2 linked regions of the Tribolium castaneum genome follow. Each later gene encodes a partner of the first gene's protein in a complex. Links are inferred from orthologs where the notes say so. Each region holds a gene or a part of one and is shown on either strand. Other genes may lie near its edges.

Region 1 (10,974 bases):
GTCCTCAAACCCTCGCAAATGGCGATCATTTGCCTCAGCTTTGGAAAATACGCAGTCGAGGCTTTCGTCAGCGAATGCGAACCGCCCGAAATCGTCGTCAAGATGGTGGCCCTCCTCACAGTCGGTAAATCCCCCGTTGGCTCAAAGAGTGACAAAATTCGCCATCTCTGATTCCAGTTGTTATCCTCTACGTCAACTGCTACAGCGTCAATCTGGCAACGAGTGTCCAGAATGTCTTTACGGCGGCGAAACTGGTCGCCGTTCTTATTGTTATAGCAGGTGGCACGTACAAGATGTTTGAAGGTACAGTAGATAGGAAAAAGTGCCGAAAAAGAAATTTTCATTTCAGAATGAAACGATTAAGAATCGGTTTTTTTCGAAGGTAATACTCAGCATTTGCGGGAGCCTTTCAGAGGAACGAGGTCCTCCGTGGGGAACATTGCGACGGCCTTCTATACGGGGCTCTGGGCCTATGACGGCTGGAATAATCTCAATTATGTCACCGAGGAAATCAAAAACCCATCACGGTAATTACATTTTTCATAGCTACCTACCAGTCTAAGAATAATATATTACTTATCAAGTCAAGAAAATGGAACTTTCTTGATGTGCCATGTATACGATTTTTCCCGAAACCGCTTAAAATGAAACTAATTATCATTAATTTTTTAACGTCTGAAGAAGTTACGAATTTCCCAACTATTAATTTCCCTAATATTAATGTCAATATTGAAAACTAATAGCAAATAAAACTGTTCAATAAATAAATTGTTATTTGAATTTATATGTTTTTCAAATGAGTTAGGCAAAGTACATATTTTCTGGACAAGGCACGAAAGTAACCAAGGAATGTTCTATTTTCGTGACGATTTCGGGATAAAACAATTTCTTTATTTTCTGTTATTAAACAAGTTAGTGAAAAATAAGGTTGATGTTTTTACAAAAATAAATACGAACAAAACTTGCCTAAAATGGCTGAAATTTAGATTAATACTTCCAATATTCTGATTTATAAAGTATTTAAATTAATATATTGACTGATTAATCGTCCGTGATAAAAAAATTCCTGCATGGTTCATCAAATTGTAACTTAAAAATTTCATAACAAATTAATAGTTGCATCTAAGTCTACCAATTTTAATTTATGAAAAATGTTTTGAGTCATGATTAAGAGTTAAGATAAACTCGAAACGTCGACTTTAAATAAATTTTTTACGAGTCTGGACTTCTTCAATTAACTCCCTATTTCCACCTCATTTAAAATAATATGACCGCGAAAAACATAAATTATTCAAGCCTAAGACGATCATTTTTGCTTTGTTTCGATTCGCTTGAATAAGATTGAAATAGAGCAATTCATACTTAACTCGATATTTTTTTGGGTTCGGCCAAACAATGTTAATGGTCAAAACAGGTTTATTCAGGATTGACACTAATATTGTTTCGAAAAAATGCGTCAACTTCACAGTTTCTGGCCCCAAAAAAATCTTACAGTCTCTTGCAAATGGCGGAATACAACTATACAAACCTAATACGACTATTTTTTGCTCATTTCGTTCGTTTTTTGTATTTAATTTAGTTCAAAAAAATAATAAACTCGACCAGAAATTACTAAAATAGTGGAAATCAGACCTAAAATAACACAGTTTTGTTGACTTACTTCAGGAAAATACTAAATTCCCAAGGTGATGTCAAATTTTCAAAGAAGTTGATGGAATAGAATAATTCCGATCTAATACAACGATTTTCTTGGTTCGTTTCAAAGAAATACACATCTTTGAGTTACTTTTTAGGTATAATAATAAAAATAATAATAATAATAATAATAATAATAATAATAATAATAATAATAATAATAATAATAATAATAATAATAATAATAATAATAATAATAAATAAAAAAAATATGAATGACTGAAATAGAATATTTCAAACCAAACATTATAATTTTTTGGTTTGTTTTGGCAAAAACCGTCGATTAGAGCCAATTTTTGTAACACTTCTAACTGAGTTAACTTGTTTCACCCAAATACGTCTATTTTAAAAATGCTCGAAAATAGCTGAAATGAGGCAGACAATCCAAACTTATCCATTTTTTGGCTTGATTTGGCAAAATACTTGTAAGTATACATCAACTTGAGCGATAGTTTAATTCAAAAATTGTTAAAAGCACTCGGAATTAGCTAATGCAGACCTAAAAACTTGGCAAAAAAGTTCACAAAACCGTAGAAAAATTTCGGTACTCAAAGTGTGGACATGAATACATGAATGGTTTTCAGTAATTTGCCAATGAGCATCATAATCGGCATCCCGCTGGTGACCATCTGCTACGCCCTCATCAACGTGTCCTACCTGACGGTGATGTCCCCCATGGAGATGATCACCAGCGAAGCGGTGGCCGTGACGTTCGGCAACCGCCTTCTGGGCGTAATGGCCTGGCTGATGCCGCTTTCCGTCACCATTTCGACGTTCGGTTCCGCAAACGGCACTCTTTTCGCCGCTGGTCGGCTGTGCTTTGCGGCAAGTCGCGAAGGCCATCTCTTGGACATTCTCTCCTACGTCCACATTCGCAGATATACTCCAGCTCCGGGTCTCATTTTCCACGTGAGTTGGCAATTTTCACAAATAAGTGAGTAAGGAATTGGGTTTTAGTCGCTGATTGCCGCCGCTATGGTCCTCTACGGCACCATCGACTCGCTGATTGACTTCTTCAGCTTCACTGCGTGGATTTTCTACGGGGGCGCGATGTTGGCTCTGATTGTGATGCGATACACTAAGCCCAACTATCCTAGGCCCTACAAGGTACTTTTTATACCCAAGATTTAGTTTTTTGTGATTTTGCAATTTGTTCCAGGTGCCAATTATCATTCCGTATGTGGTATTAGTGATCTCTTTCTACCTGATAGTAGCTCCTATAGTAGACAAGCCTACCATTGAGTACCTGTATGCAGCGCTGTTCATTTTCAGTGGGATGGTTTTTTACGTCCCCTTTGTGCATTACAAAATGCGGATCCCATTCATGGGTGCGTCCACTCCACACTGTTAGTTTTTTTTTTTTAATATTTATTTTCAGACGGCGTGACTGTTTTCCTGCAGATGATATTTGAAGTAGCACCAACATCGACAATGTTGGAGTAGAACGGCAGAAAGCTCAAATTTATATATTTGTAGCTGGTAGAGGGTCATGGTTACAGGTAAAACTCTTGGTTTCATCTATACAACGTTATTTTTGTGCTTACTGTGACTTGAAAATGTGTAGATGGAACTAGATGAAAATTATTATAAATGTAAAATGTAGGTAAATTGCACGGATCATTCCCAACCATCGGGGTATCTCATGGGGTGCAACGTGGATATCCATAACTGTTTCGTTCGTTCAAATAAAATTAGTGTCGAGCAATAAAACTTAGAGTGAACGTATTATACAGTAGATAAATGTGAAATTTAATTACTCGGTGTAATATCGTCGATGTTTTCGCTAATTTTATTTGAATTTGATAGTTGTGCATTTTATATTAACTATACATTTACTGCAAAAAGTCTGACTTTTTTATGAACTTATTTTTATATTAGTAAAGTTCCTGTAACCATGATAAAATTTCAAAACACAATAGATTGACATGTTTCAGGTAAAATATGAATCTGTTATTCCTTACCTAAACAATGTTAATTGCGACTTTGGGTTTTCTACAGTTTTTTATTTCATTTCTTAAAAGCAGTACTAAAAGATTCGAATCTCGAAGAGAGTATTACCACAGTTAGCGACAGGGATATTAATTCAAACATTTCTATTCCCCTCAAAGTACCTGCTGAATAGGGTGGCGAAAAAGAAAATATTTTCTTCAAATAGTCATTAACATATCTACAATACTCTCGAACGAATCTTGGAAACATCGATTTATTAAGCAAAAATTGTTATTTTTATCATTTGATAATAGCTTTTGTATAAAATTTAGAAAAGTAAAATTGTTGCCAAATGTAAAGCGTATATTGTTGTGCAATATAAAGAAATATATTGTAATACAGAAGAAGTTTTATTTATTTTTGCCCAAAACCAAAATTCCCACTTTTTTGGACGGCATTACTGGTTGCATAACATGACAATTGTGTCAATACTTGACACAATCCTAACCTCACAATTGACAATTTGCCAAAAACGTAAACAAACACATGGACCAAGCCACAGCTCGACGCCTGCTCTCCGAGGGCGCCTTCTTCATCCTCCTGGGGGTCCCCGAGGGCACCGAGTTCGGCATCGACCTCAAATCCTGGAACACGGGGGAGAAGTTCCGCGGGGTTAAAATGATCCCCCCAGGCGTGCACTTCATATTTTACAACTCTGTTAGTGCGACAACCGACGATGTGGCCCCCAGAGTTGGGTTTTTCCACAATTTTAAACCGGGCGAAGTCCTGGTGAAAAAATGGTCAAAGGTAAATGAGCAAATCAGTGACGAGCAAGTCAATGAGTCGGAAATCGTGAGTTTGAAGGAGAATTTGAGGGCTCTTGATGGGTTTCTGGGGCCTTATCCGTTCGATATTGCGGAGCGGTGGGCCAGCTTAGTGGGGAGCATCACCGGTAGACTGATTCAATTTTTTGGGGGGTTTTTAGACGTTTTTTTTTAGAAAATTTGTTGGGGAAATTGGTGCCGCAGTGTGGGCAAGTGAGGGCTGCTTTGGAGCTGCAGTCGTGCAGCGATGCCGAGCGGCCCAGGGGGGCTAAAAGAAAAAAGGGGGAGGCGAGTGAGCCGTCTTGTAGCGGGATAAAAAATTTGTCCGGTTGTGGAGAACTTGATTTGTTGCCTGCTTTAAAACCGATCGAAGGGACGGAGTTAAGGTTGACGAAATTCCCTGAAAAGAACTATCCTGAGGGAAGCTCGCCCTCTGAAATTACGCAGCATTCCCTTGATTTAACATTTGTTTTTGAAACACTTTTGTCACAGTATTCTGAGTATGTAATGTTAGATTAAACGTAACATTATGTTAATTTAAATTTTTATTGAAGGTCTACGGAAATCATCGGTGAGCTGGAATTCTGCTACATTTGTTTCCTTGTAGGCCACAGTTTGGAGGCATTTGACCAGTGGAAAAAACTAGTGACTTTGTTTTGTTCCTGTGATGCCGCTATTACAAAATATAGAAAATTATTCGATTTATTTATAACAGTTTTAGAAGTACATATAAAGGAAATACCGGAAGAATTCTTAGCAGATATTGTTTCAAACGATAATTTTGTTTATGTTAATTTGAAAAAATTATTTAGGTCGATTCATGAATCAAACGTTGACGGACAATTTAAAAGTAAAGTCGTTCGATTTAAAAATTCTTTAACTACGACGTTTTTGTGGGATTTTGAACATCTGGATTCCGATGAAGACGACGAAGCCCCAGTTATTGTAGAAACTTAATTTTGTTGTGTTGAAAATAAAACTATTTTACTTCATGTTGAATTTTATTAACAAGAATTCCCAGAATTATGAAACAAAGAATAGTGGAAAAGTTGTATAGTACATACATCATAGTTCAAAAAAAATATATACAAGGTGAAACAAAGTAGAACAAGTTAACTAAATAAAAAATGAAGAAATATTGAAAACAAAAAAACCTATTAAACGAAGTTTTTTTAAAGTCACATCCAAAAGTTGTGACAAGTTCACATTACCCATCGATATAAAAACTCACGAATTAAAGACGTCTTAATAAAACAGAAAACTGACAAGACAGTAAAACCTCTCACCAAGGGACATCGATGAGGAATTTTTAATTGTCCGTTGTGGAGAGGTGTCCGTTATTCAGAGGTGGACATTAAAGGAAGTTTAATAGTATTTGAAATAAATCGTTTTTGACCATTTAGCGAAAAAATCAAATACGAGCACCTACCTACCTAATAAATATTTATAATATTATCAACTTTGCTAAAACAAATCAACACGAATAAAAAAAAGTGCATTTAAACAAACGATAAGCACCATAATATAAAAAAAACAGTGTTTATGGTAAAGAACGAAAAAAGTATACTTATTGCGGTTCAAGAAATAAATATTTTAGATCTGGAAACTTCTCCTAGAAGGTTCGTATTATCTCAATTTGCACTCGCTTCTGATTAATTCTACCATAAAATTTGTTTTGGGGATTCGCCCGTTTATTCTTATTATTTCTTAGAGAGAAAAATCCCTCGATAACTATAAATACCGCAGTCGATAGCATACTAAGTAAAAAACAACAAAAATATTGAGTAATTCATAAAAATAAATTTTTGAAAGTTTCACTAATAAAAATTTAAATTTTATCAAATAAAACCTCTATTTCCTTCTCTAGATAGTACAGACATTCCAACAATGATACTCTTATTTAATAGATTAATTTTTTTAAGATATTAAAATTTACTTAGCTTTTTTCAATATAGTGGTTGATTTTCGAGGTGATTTTAGCAATATGGTGCATTAAGCTTCCAATAGGACTAATAGGAGATAGAAGATATTAGTGACTTATATGCGAAGAAACCCCCAGTTGCGATAGGAACTTATTTATTTGTGTAAAAAAAATCGTCTCAAATTTTATTCTAACTGAACAAATTGTTGACGAAGGTCAATGACATAACCCAAAGAATTACAGCAAATGTGGTGCTAATTTAGTGCTAATAAAATTTGGTAGACACTCGTTAACTTTTCTTGAAAATTGTTAAAACACTTATTTTTGTTCCTAGACCCAGTTGTAGATAAATATTCTAAACGAGTCGCTAATTGTTGAATAATTACGGCCTTGACCAAGACCTATCCAACTTATAATTATTCCAATTTTCTTGTAAATTTATTCACGAAACTTTCACCTAGATTTATGGCAAATGTGTTATTTGAGATAGTAATAAGCACGGCTGGTGCTCTATTTACGAGTAATGTCAGCAGGAAGGCCTAAAATCCGGAAAATAAGATAAAGAAATCATAAAATCGAATGGGTTTAATTAATAGTGCTATATATCAAAGGAAATGCGTCCTCCGTACAAAGATAATTAATTGTCGTAGTAGAATTTTATTGTTGGTAGTAAACAATTAGTACCTAGACTTTAGAGTTGAGCAAACGATCGAAAAAGTGTAATTTCTAGTTAATAAGTATTATTTGAGGACATATTTGATGACTGTTATTGCCATTTGCCGTGCAATCTGATCGCAGCGACTTCCTTTATAAAATAAAATTGCTTAAGTGGTATAAAAATGGGTATTTTTACGCTTTTGTGTTTAGCCATAGGTCACGTAATAACCGTCTTAATAAATTTAGCCCTGATGGAAAGTGCAACCAAGGTTCATATTCACCTGCAATTTTTCTAAAATACCACAATTATAATGCAGTTGCTCAACTCCGCGGTACTTTTATTACTTAATTTTCCTCACTTGCATAACATAACGAACCGTGCACTTTCTAATCCCAGAAATGGCACTGCTGTTATTTTGCGAAAGCTCGCCACGTCGCGAAATTAAATAAAATCGCTAATCAGCCCCAATGATGGTGATTTATATCGGACGGAAACGCCAATCTGCATTAGCAGTCTAATGCCCTGAGCACCCTCGCCGAGGTGCTCCAGGTGCCCCCCTCAGTCGGCAAGCTCGTCTTAAGCTCGCACTTTCTCTGCTCGAGGACGCTTTGAACACAAACTATTCGACCGCTCCGCCACTCAACAACTTCCGATTAAAAGCCGGCATCATTTAAAATCATAATCAGTTGATGTCAACGCGCGAAGAGATACAACATGAAAGTGTGAAGTGATACTGTGTCGAGTGGAAATTAAGGAAATACAAGGTAGGATTTGTGGTTTTACGCGATTCTGCAAGACGCTGGCACAACAGTTTGATGCAATGCCTTTTTCCGATTGCAACAACGGCACGTTTCTTAACAAAATGACATTTTCGAGAAAACAACGTAACAATGCTAATTAAAGATTGAAATAAACAATTCGCGAAAACCCTCCAGGATGTTACTAATTGTGCGGACACGCGAATTGATTCAATTAAAAATAAAAACGTGTAAAATTGTTTGAGAAATTGCGCAAATTCCAGGTATGTGAGAGTAGGTGGGTACTTTTTCATTAATATGTGATCTATAAATATTCGCATTGTTTGTTGGTAAATAGCCTTCGGTGTAAATTTCCTGCTAATAAAAAAATTCAAGCTGATTGGTGAAATTACAAATAATTAGTGTAAGCAGCCGAATCGCCTTGAAATAAAATATTATCAATAAAAAATGGGAAAAAATTAAATTTTCCGCACTATTTTCCTGGAATTTGCATATTAGTGCGACCACATCTTTAATCAATTGTGAAGGTTCTTGCCGCCGAATTTTCTTCGATGAAAGCAATTAATAAAATGTTTCCACTCTTTATTCCCACGGTTAACGATGTATTGACATAATGATTAATTTTTAGAATTTATTTTGTTCTCCACAGATATTTATTTTTTAAATTATCACTATTTCAAGCTCAGACCTGTATTAAAAAACAGAACGATCGTCGGAATGGCCTGAATATTTTTGCAATTATCCTCTTGAGAATAAAAATACATCAATTTTAGCGGTTCATTAATTGTTGCTCTTGAAGTCTGGAATAAAATTAGATTAATATTTCCTCTACCAAGAAAACAACACTATATGCGTAACAATTTAAGTCAATTCCTGTTTTTACTAGTAAAAATAAACGAATTCATTGTAACTTGAAACTCGTATTATTGTGCATGTTGTTAAATATTCATTACAATGATAAAAAACGCAACGGGTTGTATCAGATGATCCAGTGACCCGTCCAGAATTGTAGCAAATATTTGGAGAAAACAATTAATCAATCATCGTTTGTTTGAAAATTGATTGTTTCGTATTTCGGTTCCGATAACAAAATAGTAACAATATTTTCCGTCTTATCAATGAAATTGCCAATGTCTGCGTTGACAAAAAGCGTGCAAATCCTTAAACTCCCACCGTCCTTGGCTTTGCTGCTTGAAACTTGATTAATGTGTAAATTTTAAGGTCATTTAAACAAATTGGGTCAAGAAGACCACACAAACCCATTCCCTCTGACTAATTCAGGTTCAAAAAACACAAAACCGAAAAAATGAATTTTATCACGAGAATTAACCTTGTCAGTCGGTATTTTTTTTAAAAGTGTGACACGTATCAAACTTTTGTTGGGGTTTCCGGTTTAAGGACTTCGGCCGGAAGAAAATAACATCGAGGTTCATTAAAGGTAATAATTGTTAATTGAAGAAAGTGTCAAGGTTGGGTTTTATTGAGAGTAATACCCTTGTCAACATGTGGCGTTTCCGCGAATCCTTGGCGTCTTCGGCAAAGAACTGAACGAATTGGGTCATGCAAAAATTGGGGGTTTGCGAATTCAAGGATTTAGAACGGCCGAAAAATACAATAAGAGAATTAACGCGAATCTAGATCAAGTCCGAACGGATTAAACACAAAATTAAAGAGCATAATCAAAAATAAGCAGTTTCTTTCATTAACACTTAAGATGATTAGAGCCCATCCTTTTTTCAGCAAATAAAACGTTTTTTCAGCAGGACCTTACAATGCGATATTTCAAACTCAAATAAAAATTAAAATACAACTAGGGAATCTAGTTGAATTGTTTCAATTAAAATAATTGCATATTAAAAGCATAATTCTCAAAATTTATGACACTATTCAAAAAAATTTACAGCCCTAAAATGTCTAAAAAAACTAACAGTTTTTTTTCTTAAAAAAAATCAGAATTACAATGTCTGAATAATAAATACGTCAAAGATGTTAAAAATACAAATAAATTGGGTAAAGTTGGTAGGAACTTTTTTGTAAATCTCAAATCGGGGATTGTATCTTTCGTAATTATTTTATTTGTCAATACTGCGTGTTCCAGTTTTTTACACTTAGAATTTCAACAATGAAGAGAAGTTATCTATACGTCCAGATTACAAAACGAATTGAATTGAACAATGAATAACATTACACATAATATGAAATTTTCCCATAGAAAAAATGAACTAAATGTATTTTCTAGCTCAAATTTAAAAGGTTACTAAATGCTACTAATATACAGCGTGTTAGGGAATGGTTTAGTAAAAATTTAAAGGTAGATAGAGAATGGCAAGACAAACCGATTAAGCAAAATAAATGTAAATGAAAAATATACAGTTTTCCCAAAAAATCGTTTTGAACTTAAAGTCCCAAATTTTGAGAACTGCTGAATTAGAATTATAAAAATTAGCGTATATTTTAATATTATTGACTAAACATCAAAGGTAAACTAACTTCTTGATCCATAAATAAAAATAAATAAATAAATAAAATAAATAAAATAAATAAAACAAATAAAACAAATAAAATAAATAAAATAAATAAAATAAATAAAATAAATAAAATAAATAAAATAAATAAAATAAATAAAATAAATAAAATAAATAAAATAAATAAAATAAATAAATAAATAAATAATACAGATAGTGTTTTTTATTTAAAATATTTAAATGTTGTTAAAAGGAAGTTTGCGGAAGAGAAACATTTCATAACTATTTCAATAATAAATATAAAAGCATGAAATTAAACTTTTGTCGTACTCCAATAATTTTGTTACTACACAAAAAAGTTGATAGAACATTAATCGAAGTTCATTCGTTTCTTTACATTATAAGTTATAAAGTTTAAATTAAATTTTAATAATTTGAAAACAAAAAGCCAAATTTTTAAACTCGTAAAAAATGATATTATTCTTTATTTGACTAAAAATTCGAACATTGTTTAGAATTAAGAGCCAGCTTTGGACCCCCGGTTTCTCACAATCCACTCCATAACATCTTATCTTATCACTCGAAAGGTTACAGAGAATTCTTTATAATGATCTCATTTCACCATGAATTTAGTAAAACAGCTTGATTTCAGGTACGTAGCGAATTCAAGCGCACTTAAATCTATTTAAATCTCGCTTGACGTTAACCATTCGTTCCCCAATAT
Region 2 (10,768 bases), on another chromosome or scaffold:
TAGCATTGTTAAAGTTACAAAATAGAAAAAATAATGTGTGAACTTTCGTTTTCTAAATAATCTCTTCAAAACAGCTGCTTTCTACTTAAACATACCCAGTTTCCTTCTCCAGTGTTTGATCCTGCCACTTGATGGTATACCATTCGTCATATTTCTTGCTTCCGCAGCACTGCATTTCAATTTGTAAGCGATCAATCTGTGATTTATAGGTCGTACTGTTCAAATAATGATTCATTGCAGTGACAATCCCATCGTGGAGTTTCTGATGCGTGCTATACGCGTGTGCGATAACACTAACAATTATTATCAGAAGAACAACCACCATAACAAGGGCCAAGATAATTAAAAAGAACATCATTCGATTGGCGCCGGGTTGTTCGCTGGGATCGAACACCGCATAAACGAAATAACACATCATTAAATTAATGATGAGAAAAAAAAATACCGGCACGGCTTGCAACGCTGGTAAAGTATCACCATCGCCGCTTGAAATCATGTTAATAAAATACCCGAGGTGGGATCTGATCTGTATTGCGGAAATTAAAAGTTTTAACGAGAAAATTACGTCAATTACAAGAAACACTGTCAAAAAAATTGCAATCAGTTTGATGCTCTTGTACTCAACTATGCGCACTGGAAAACCACCCTTAACGGCGATTCTTTCCTGGGATTCGTCTTCGTCTAGATCAGACATTGTCAAACTTCGGTGTCAAATCAAACAAGTTGTTATTTTACAGGTTTATTAAACATTTTTGCACCTTTGCGCGCCTTCATGATTTTTTCTTTAAGTGACGCTATATCAACTTTCGTGTTAACATTCGGTGATTGCTTCGAGGTTGAGGGCTCCTCAGGTGGGACAAACGCTTCGTTTCTTTTCTCCTCACGTTTCTTCGCAGCCGCAGCGTGTTTTTCATTCTTCTCTTTCTGTTTCTTTTGCCGTTTTTGCTCCTTGTTGAGGAAGTATTCGCCAGAAGCTAGCTCCTTATCGATCTAAAATTTAACAAAGTGTTATTTGTTTCCTACAAAATTTTTGAATTTTTTACCTTGCTTTCAGTTTGTGGGGGCGGGAAGGGCGTGTACGGTTTCTTCTCCTTCTTCTTTTTCGGTTGTTTCCGCTTACTGATATTTTTATTAACAAATCTGGGTAAAAATCGGTCCCAGTTCTCGTTCTTGAGCTTGGGATCCTTCGCTAATTCTTTCTTGATCATCAGAGCTTTGATGTTATAAATAGGATGCATGTTTTTCATGGTATCTTCCACAATCTTCCTGACTTGCTGTAACCCCTTATAAGGCCCCAAAGCCGACACTGTCTGTCCTTGCACCAACACATAACAATTAGTCAGCAATTCAATTGATTTCAACGTACAACCGTTCGGCCCAATTAGCCTCTGTCTTCTCTTAACAAACTTCTCTTTATTCCTTGTAATTTTCCCTATTTTAATGATATCACAACCGACGTCGTCATTCAACACCCGCTTGGCTTGCTCAAAAGGAACACTCCGGGACATTAATTTGATCATGTCTCGAGCTTTGATTATGATATAAGGGTCCCAAGTTTTACGCGTCGTTCTCACAGTCATGCTTCCCTCAACCACGTCCAATTCTGCATTGATGTGGTGCTCTTTTAAAGTCTTTTGCACGAGGGGCCACACTTGGCGCAAATACTGCTCCCGGTATTGGGGAAAAAGCGTCGCGAATGAACTCTCCTCCAGGAGACCATGGGGGTTATCCTCGGGCTTAAACTCCGGGATTTTCATCGCCCAAGCGTTCTCGACGGGACCTGAGGGCGCCTGGGACTCATCGTCGCTAGAATCCGGCATTTTCACTCACAAAAACACCAAAATATGACGAAATGGAAAAAACACGTGCATTAATCTTTTGACAGGTGGCCGATAATACAGGATTCTGTGACTGGAAATAACCCAAAACTCCATGAAGTAACGCTATAAATGATATAATAAAAGGATCTAATCTCTCACATTGTTGTATAATAATAAAAAATGTAATAAATCATGAGATAATTATATAAGCCGATAAAATAATGACGGGCCCTCTGGCGGAATCAGTATCAGACACACTTAAAAACAGCTGTTTGTCAATCACAAATGTTACGTCAAAGGTGTAGTAGGGCAACTAGCTGGTCGACATGGCATTAAATTTGTTTACAAGTATAAAATACGGTAAGTTCTTTATTATAAAGTTACTTGGCAACCAACTGATACATTAATAAACTAAAACCACGACAATGGTCACTACACTTATTTCATAATTTTTTTTTTTGAAAAAACTAATTATTGTTACAATAATCTTGGGATAATTATGTTAGAATTTGCTGGAAGTTACGTTAATTTAATGGTTGTAAGTCATTCTGGTGGTTTTTCACGGATAAATTATGAAATATTGTCCAGAGTGACCTTTGTACCGTGTTTATGTTGCAAAGTGCATATTGTTTTTTTTTTCCAGCTAAATCTTTGAAACCTTTGGCACGATGTTATTCGGACCAGTTTCCCAAAATCACGACCCACTATACCGTTGTGCCGCGAGAAAACGACCCACGATGGAAAGGTAATTATTTCAAAGTACTCACTAATTGACCAGCTTTCATTCAGAGGTGAATATGGAACGGTTCGGGGACGAGACGGATATTTTAATAATCGGGGGAGGTCCTGCGGGGATGTCTGCCGCGATAAGAGCCAAACAATTGGCTGAAAAAGACGGGAAAGAGCTCAGGGTTTGTGTTGTGGAGAAAGCATCTCAAGTAGGAGGTCACATTTTATCAGGAGCTGTTATACAACCAACAGCACTCGATGAATTAATCCCTGATTGGGCGGATAAGGGGGCACCGTTAAAAACCCCAGTAAAGGAAGACAAATTCGGGATTTTAACAGCCACGGGTCGAATCCCTGTTCCGGTACTGCCAGGTACCCCCATGTACAACCACGGGAACTACATCGTGCGGCTGGGGCACGTGGTGCAATGGCTTGGGGAGCAAGCCGAGGCCATGGGTGTTGAAATCTACCCAGGGTACGCAGCTTCGGAAATCCTCTACCATCCCGATGGTAGCGTTAAAGGGGTGGCGACCAACGATGTGGGTATCGCCAAAGATGGGAGCCCTAAAGACAATTTCGAACGAGGCATGGAATTACATGCCAAATGTACCATTTTTGCGGAGGGCTGCCATGGACATTTATCCAAACAAATCATAAACAAATTCAACTTGAGGGCAAACTCCGAGCCACAAACCTACGGTATTGGTTTGAAGGAGATTTGGGAGATTGATCCTTCGAAACACAGTCCTGGCCGCGTTGAGCACTCGATTGGTTGGCCTTTGGATAAATTCACCTACGGTGGAAGCTTCCTCTACCACCTCAATGAAGATACTCCTTTGGTGGCGGTTGGATTTGTTGTCGCCTTGGACTATTCCAACCCTTATTTGAGCCCTTTTAGAGAGTTCCAAAGGTTCAAGCACCACCCTAGCGTCAAACACTACTTCGAGGGAGGTACACGTATTGCCTATGGGGCGCGTGCTTTGAACGAAGGTGGCTTCCAGAGTATTCCCAAACTGACGTTCCCTGGAGGATGTCTCGTTGGGTGTTCGGCCGGCTTCCTCAATGTACCAAAAATCAAAGGCACGCATTATGCCATGAAAAGTGGGATGTTGGCTGCGGAAAGCGCCTACGAAGCCATTAATAGCGAAAAACAAGAAACTGAAGGTTTTGAACCGAAGAGCTATCCAGACAAAGTTAAGAACAGTTTCATTTGGAAAGACTTGAAACGGGTGAGGAACGTACGACCCAGCTTCCATAATCCTTTGGGGATGTATGGAGGAGTGATGTACAGTGGATTTTCCATAATGATTGGGGGGATGGAACCGTGGACTTTCAAACATGGCGATCCCGATTACAAGAGACTCAAACCGGCCAAAGACTGTACACCTATCGATTATCCGAAGCCTGACGGTAAAATCAGCTTCGATCTCCTCTCTTCCGTTGCGCTGACTGGGACCAATCATGAAGGTGACCAACCCCCGCATCTAACCCTGAAGGACGATACCGTTCCTGTTAAGCAAAATTTGGGCATTTATGACGGGCCTGAAGGCCGGTTTTGTCCAGCAGGAGTGTACGAATTCGTCCCGCTTGAAAGTGGGGACGGTCAAAGGCTGCAAATCAACGCCCAGAACTGTATACATTGCAAAACTTGCGATATTAAAGACCCGAGTCAGAACATCAACTGGGTGGTTCCCGAAGGAGGTGGCGGCCCGGCTTACAACGGAATGTAATTAAGTGCCTTTAAGCAAATTGCTTGACTTTTTATGTATATTGATAATAAAATTTTTATAACACTGTTAGTCATACAGCTCGAAGTCTATCCGGTTCGAGGTGTAAAAGTTGGATTGTTCGCCACACTTACGCACCCACACTCCCGTCTTGAAGTACCCTTCTTTGGACCACTTTAACATTTGTGAGGTGTCGTACGGACCCTCGACTTGGTCCTTGTCTTGGTCCCACTTAAATTCCCACATTAACTGCTCTGGTTTACCTGACACTGACGCCGTCTCCATCTTCTCCTTCTCCTTGTCGCCGAAGTCGTCAGCATACATGTCCAGAACAGGCTCACTGTTTTTCGGTTTCGTTCGGTCGTCAATTTTTTTGGTAATTTCTTCAAAAGTCTCCTGGTATACGTTCATGTTCCCCGTCTTCGTTAATATACTATTCGCGATCTCGGTCATGTCCGCCACATCCTGATTCGAATTCAAAGTCCCTGCCTTCTTGCGCTTCAGTCTCTCGACACTGGACAACTTCAAATCGCCCCCTAACCGCCTCAAACACTTGTTGACCGTTTCTTTGGGTTTCATGTAGTTGAGCATCTTTTTGTACAAACCGACCTCATCGAAATCCTCAGCTTCCGACTCAGAATCACTCTCGGCCCCCAAGCCTTTCTCGTTGGGGTCCAACTGGTACTTATCGTCACTGTTGACTTTATGCCAGTCGATGTTGTCCAACCAATTATCCCGTATTTCCTTCTCGTTGTTCCAAATAAAGTGGCCCTCTTTGTCGAAATGCCCTTCTTCCATCTCCTCTTTCATGTTGAAGGCGGTCATCCGGACCCCTTCAACCTGACGCGAAATTCCCTCCTCTTCGCCCTCGATGTCGTCGGCGTTGAGCTCTTCAGCGGTCTCATCGTAATCGTCCTCTTCGTCCGAATCCAAGGAATGTTTTTTTGCGTTAAACTTCACCTGGCGCCGCTTATTTTGCGAAAAATCGCCTTCGTTGAATTTTCGTTTTGACATTTTTGACAAATGCAAAACAAACAACACGCATGCTCTCAAAACCGATCTGCACTTTTGGTTTGTATCCACGGTTAAATTTTTTAATATTTGTTTTTTTTGGAAATAATCATAATCAGCTTTTTTTACCGCAAATTTTTCACCACGCTTATTACTAAAACATAAACAACTCAAAAATATATTGTAAAAAACCCAAAAAGTTAAGAAAAACTGTAAAATTGAAATGGTATGTTTGGCAACTATCCAAGAGATGGCACAAGCTACTTTAAAATTTGTTTATACTGTGTGTTTCAAAAAAGATGTCCTCCAAATACGTGCAAATACGAATTTCTCTTATGCTCTCATTACTTATTAGCAGTCGCATATTTACATAAGGAGAAAATGGGCTATAGCCCAGAACGACAGAATTTTAGAATTTTTTTGTTACAAGCTTTATTTTTTAAATAAATTGCAAACTAAAGGTTCTGATTTTTTATGGTTGAAATAATGAGTTTTAAGATGTTTTTAATAGTTTCAAATTATATTATATTAAATTCACAATAAGTAAACAGAGAACAAGCCTGAGTACCTAATGCAAATATCTACAGAAAAAGTTTTTAAGTCAGCGACAACGTACACGTACAACTAATATTGTAGAAAAAAGTGCAAAATAGCTACGCTTTTTTTTTTAAAACTTCATAAATAAATACAGGCTGATTTTTTAACATATCTCAGAATATAAATGAGAACATTTAATACCTAGTACATGTTTGGTGACATTACTAAGAATTGTTTCAGGTTTTCCCATGTGATTTTCAGAATTATCTTGCATTTTTAGAGAATTTGTGCTAGAACTGAATTTGCTATTTGATTGACTGATTAAAAAAAGTTCAGATATTAAAAAAAATTAATTAATTTTGTATTTTAAGTTTATTAAGTTACACCTAATGCAAGATTGTAGAGCCATAAATACTACAAGCGCGTCAATTAATAATACAGTGAAACTTAGTTACAACGAACACCTAAGTGACTTCCGAATTTGTTTGTTGTAACCGATCGTTCGTTTTAACATATGGAGTAATTTTCAAGATAAATGAGTTCTAAAGTTTAAGATAGATATACGTTATGAAATAAAGTATGATTATATTTTATTAAAAGCTATATAATTACATGAGTTCATAGTTATACATATGTATACCTATAACAAATATTTTATTTATTTAATGATTTGTGTTTGTACTTAACACCTTAGCTGTTTTTAAGGTATGTTTCACTTTTGAAATCATTCTGCAATATCGAAAATGTTTAGACCAGTTTTTTGTCTAAATATTGGACGTTAAAAGCCAGCATTCGTTGTAAGCGAGGTTCAATTATTCGTTAAAACCGAACTGATTTTTTACTATAATATAAAACGGGACTTTCAATTTTGTTTGTTACATTCGAGCGTTCGTAATATTGGCGTTCAAATGTATTTTTATCTGTTGCCGCCCCCGGACACAGCGAAAAGGTTACAAAATGCTTCTTATAGAGGCATTAAATTAGCGTTATCACTTATCATCAAGCGTTGTAAAAGAAGTAATCAGTGAGGGATCCATTAAGCGCGTCTGGTGCTTGAAGACGAATGAGATTACAAAACATTGATTGGTTGTCTCGCCGGCGCATATTGTAGTAATATGGACGCAGACTGCGCGTACCGCCATAAATCGAGGTGATAAACTCTGCAAAGGGCCGTTAAACCCGGTAAAAACTGCGCTGGGGTGGAGGAGCGTCCCGACGGCGGCGATAGTTGCCTCAAGTTCAAGGTTCCGATCAATGAATGGGTTGGATCCGGAGGCCCTGGCAAAGACCAGACAGGTCACTGACTGCTGCAAGGAAATTCATCCAGACACAAATTATTCCAGGAATAAAAATATCATTCGAATGGAATAAGTTTTGAGCAAACTGTTCTCTCGGGTGATTCTAATAAAAGTTATACTCGTTTCGGTTCTGCATATTAAAACGAAATTACAAACAGTGAAGTGTGCTACAGTATCTGCTTCCAATTTCGGGTTACAAGTTTTGTGTGTCTAACGAAACGAGGGTTTTTTATGATGAGTCAAATCTACAGAGTTACAAAACGGTACTTGGTTTTCTATTTTTAGAATACTATAAAGTTTTTACTGCCGGTTTAGACCTTAATGATGATACCTTGGGTAACGTCTTTCACCTTTTTAACGTAAAATTAAAGCCAAAAGTCAGGAGAACAAGCGCAAAAGCGTGAAAAAGCCACAACTCATCCCGTATCAGTTGAAACGAGGATTTTTTTCAAAGACTACGAAAAAAGTTTTAATGTTGCTGACAGTTGGAAAGGTTGAGTTAATTATGCTTTGATATTTCGCCAAAAAAGAGTTCAAGTTAAAACTTTCTTCGCCCACATGACAAATACAATTACGTGTTTATTGTCTTAATTAACATTTTTCCATAAAAAAGCGCTTATCGCAATAATGGACGACGTCTTCCACTTCCCTGTTGTTCTGTTTGTCCGTGCTTTATCAAGTTATACCTCTCTTTATTTACTTAAGGCGTTTTCCCCGTATATTAATAGAGCTGCCACACCGTCAAGTATTTTATCGAAAGCGGGGTAGTAAATTGGTTGAACGCGTTCTGCGGTCAGTCGTTATTATTTTTACGGTATTCGGGCAATTATTAATGGTGGCTGTTGGCAATATTTCGAGGGTGACGTGTGAAACTTCACTTCCTCTCGGACCATAAACTCACATCATTTCTATTTTCCCCTAAAAGTATTGGAAAGGCTGATTTAATAAGTTTTTATTGCGTGTAATTCGGGTTGTTGCAAATTTAATAATGGGAAAATTACGGATCGTTCTATTAAAACTTTAATACAACTGTAATAACTTTTCATATATCATTATCATTAGACGGTAAATGCCGCGGTTTGAGACAATTTTGCTACAGAGTAAGTTCATTGTGTATTTTGATGAGCTTTCCGTGCGGATAAATCACACTGAGATAACTGAATTATATTTCGTCTTTCTCGTGGCTTCATGCACCTCACCCTCGCAGTTTGAACACAATAAATTTTTATTACCTAGTATCATTTTCGTGTACGCGTCCGGTATGAATATTAACACCCTGCAGTAAAATATTCATCGTGTTTGGTTTAATCAAAGAGTGATGTTGGCATTAGGGCCTATCATCAATATTGGAAGCTGCGCACCCATTATCATTATACAGCCCTACAGTATTGCACTAAATGTATCATTAATATATAGCGCAACAGCTCCATCGGCTATAAATTTGCTCGGAGCTTTTAGTCCTTTAAAATATCGTGAAGGAGGGACGATTTTTTGTTAGAATTCAATGGAGCATCCTGTGGACACGTTTCGGCGTCGGTTTTATCGCCATCAGGGTCAACGTCTGAACAGAACCGGAAACATCCATCATCGCAACAAAGTGGTGGACGTGTTCCCATTGATCGACCATAAATTTATCACTGTCCGATTTAAATTATAACATGGCCGCAATCACACACGACGACGATAAATTTTAATCGCTCGTGTAAATTTCGCTTGACAATATTGGTCTCTTGGTAATTTATGTTTTGTGAATAGTGATTTAGCTTGCTCCCGGAGTGCATTTTTACCCGGAAAAAGGACCATCAGTATGCCAACCACCCGATAGATGGCGCACCGATTGCGAAATTTATGTCCCTATCCGGCTTTGTTCCCTCGAAGAAGGATACATCGATAGGCTCAGGCCTCTCAAGCCTTCAATAACGCGGAGTTTAAGATAAACACAAAGAAACTTATTTCTGGCTCTTAAACATTGTCCATTGTCCTAATTAATTGCAGTTTCTTAAAAAGTAATAGCACTAAAGAGATTCATACAGGACTTATAACAAATAGTTCTAAAACTATAAAAATGCAATAAAAGTATAGATTTTTAAATCAGTGTTTTATTAAAATAGTTATTTATTCGACGAGTTTGAGTGTAAATCGGACGTTTTATTTCACGAGTGGTTTTTTAAACCTCGAGTGATAACGAGAGGTTTACCATCCACGAGGTGAAATAAATGAACCGATTTACACGAAAATAAGTTGAATACAACATTTTATTCTTCGAATTAGACTCAACAAAGCTTAAAATTGCTTAAAATCTGTTAAAAATAATCTGACGTTTCGTATTGAGAAATGCCAAACAGTTGTCAAAACTGTCTTACACAGGAGAAAAATCCGAAATTTTGACAGTGTCGAAGAATAAAAACCTTTTCTCAACTTTCTGCCTGATTCAATCCTAGGTAATAAGGAGAGACCGGACTTTTAGAAAGTTAAAATCCTTATGAAAAGACAAAAAAGGTTGTACAAAAACTGAAATTAGGTATTAAAATTTGGTAATTTAAGATAAATTTTTTATTAATTCTTATTACAGAAAAAAACATAATTTTTTTTTCAATAAATTTGATTACATAAATAAACAAGCAACACGAACTAAGTACGTTTTGTCATAAACTTGAATTCATCTATTACACCATAAAATGCTATAAAAAAGTTAATAAACTGTTGTTGAATTTAAATTAATATTGTGCTAAATTTGCTGTTAAAAAATTAGTTGTTTTTCTGAAAGAATTCATCGTAACGTAGAAATTGAACTCATTGTAAGAAAACTTAGTATCTACTAGAACTAAAATCAGGCACCTCTGCATTAACAATAGTTTAAAAAGTTAAATAAAACACTTCATTTATTCATTTTTGCTTTTCAAAAAAAATAAATTGTCAAACGCTCAAGTTAATAACTGAAAAGATATAAAGATTTTTGACCTAATTTAGTACATTTTTGAGTTTTATGAGGAAATCTTGCGAAACAATTGAGTTTTTGCTGAAAAACTTGCAAAATGTTTGAACACAAACTAATTGCGAGAATCACTCTTCATTAAAAACAAATCGATCCACAATTTATCCACGAATTTTGAACCCAAGTATAATAAAAAAACCTGAAATTTTTTTAAAAAACAACGAAATTCCAGTTGGTTTGGCCGAAACTTACAAAGTTTTTTGCCTTTTGAACAGTTGCAATCCCTCCGATATCCAGTAATAAAAGCTTCAATCTTCAATCGTCTTGCAATTTTTTGTGCACCAAATAAACAAGTAGGAAATGATTTCTATATTTTTATTGAACAAATTATTCACTCCAGAAAGAAATAAAGGACGTGGCGAAACACACTTTTTTATTAAATCTATTACCCAAAAACTAAGGATCCTAGAAAAGTAGAACTTTTACACAACTAATTAACATCTACACTGTCGGTTTGTAAAAACTAATAATTAGAGTTATAGTAATTAAAATAAATAAATTTTTAAAATTAAAATTTACAATTTTGCAATTTTGACACATACATGAAAATTGTTTAAATTTAAAAAATAATTTAATATAAAATTAGGTAGAGTATTTATATTTTCAAAAAATTAAATACAAAAACTACTGACAAAGAAACTTTAACGCTGA

What was found.
Region 2: protein AAR2 homolog (region 1) and holn1 share a complex: the UniProt entries of both Homo sapiens proteins name them as parts of the U5 snRNP complex. The link is inferred for Tribolium castaneum from reciprocal best matches to the Homo sapiens genes AAR2 and CD2BP2.

The regions. Positions count from the first base shown.
Region 1 is NC_087397.1:5,817,001-5,827,974, forward strand, and holds protein AAR2 homolog, read left to right. Parts: upstream 1-4,098; 5' UTR 4,099-4,170; coding exon 4,171-4,576; intron 4,577-4,623; coding exon 4,624-4,948; intron 4,949-5,002; coding exon 5,003-5,405; 3' UTR 5,406-5,440; downstream 5,441-10,974. Other genes in the region: sbm (b(0,+)-type amino acid transporter 1), read left to right, coding at 1-124, 178-303, 383-527, 2,280-2,604, 2,653-2,802, 2,855-3,023, 3,074-3,138. UniProt on the Homo sapiens protein: Component of the U5 snRNP complex that is required for spliceosome assembly and for pre-mRNA splicing.
Region 2 is NC_087402.1:7,508,845-7,519,612, forward strand, and holds holn1 (CD2 antigen cytoplasmic tail-binding protein 2 homolog), read right to left. Parts: upstream 5,329-10,768; 5' UTR 5,291-5,328; coding exon 4,346-5,290; 3' UTR 4,299-4,345; downstream 1-4,298. Other genes in the region: rod outer segment membrane protein 1-like, read right to left, coding at 96-526, 575-694; dbe (KRR1 small subunit processome component homolog), read right to left, coding at 727-990, 1,044-1,820; Etf-QO (electron transfer flavoprotein-ubiquinone oxidoreductase, mitochondrial), read left to right, coding at 2,147-2,180, 2,464-2,565, 2,610-4,279. UniProt on the Homo sapiens protein: Involved in pre-mRNA splicing as component of the U5 snRNP complex that is involved in spliceosome assembly.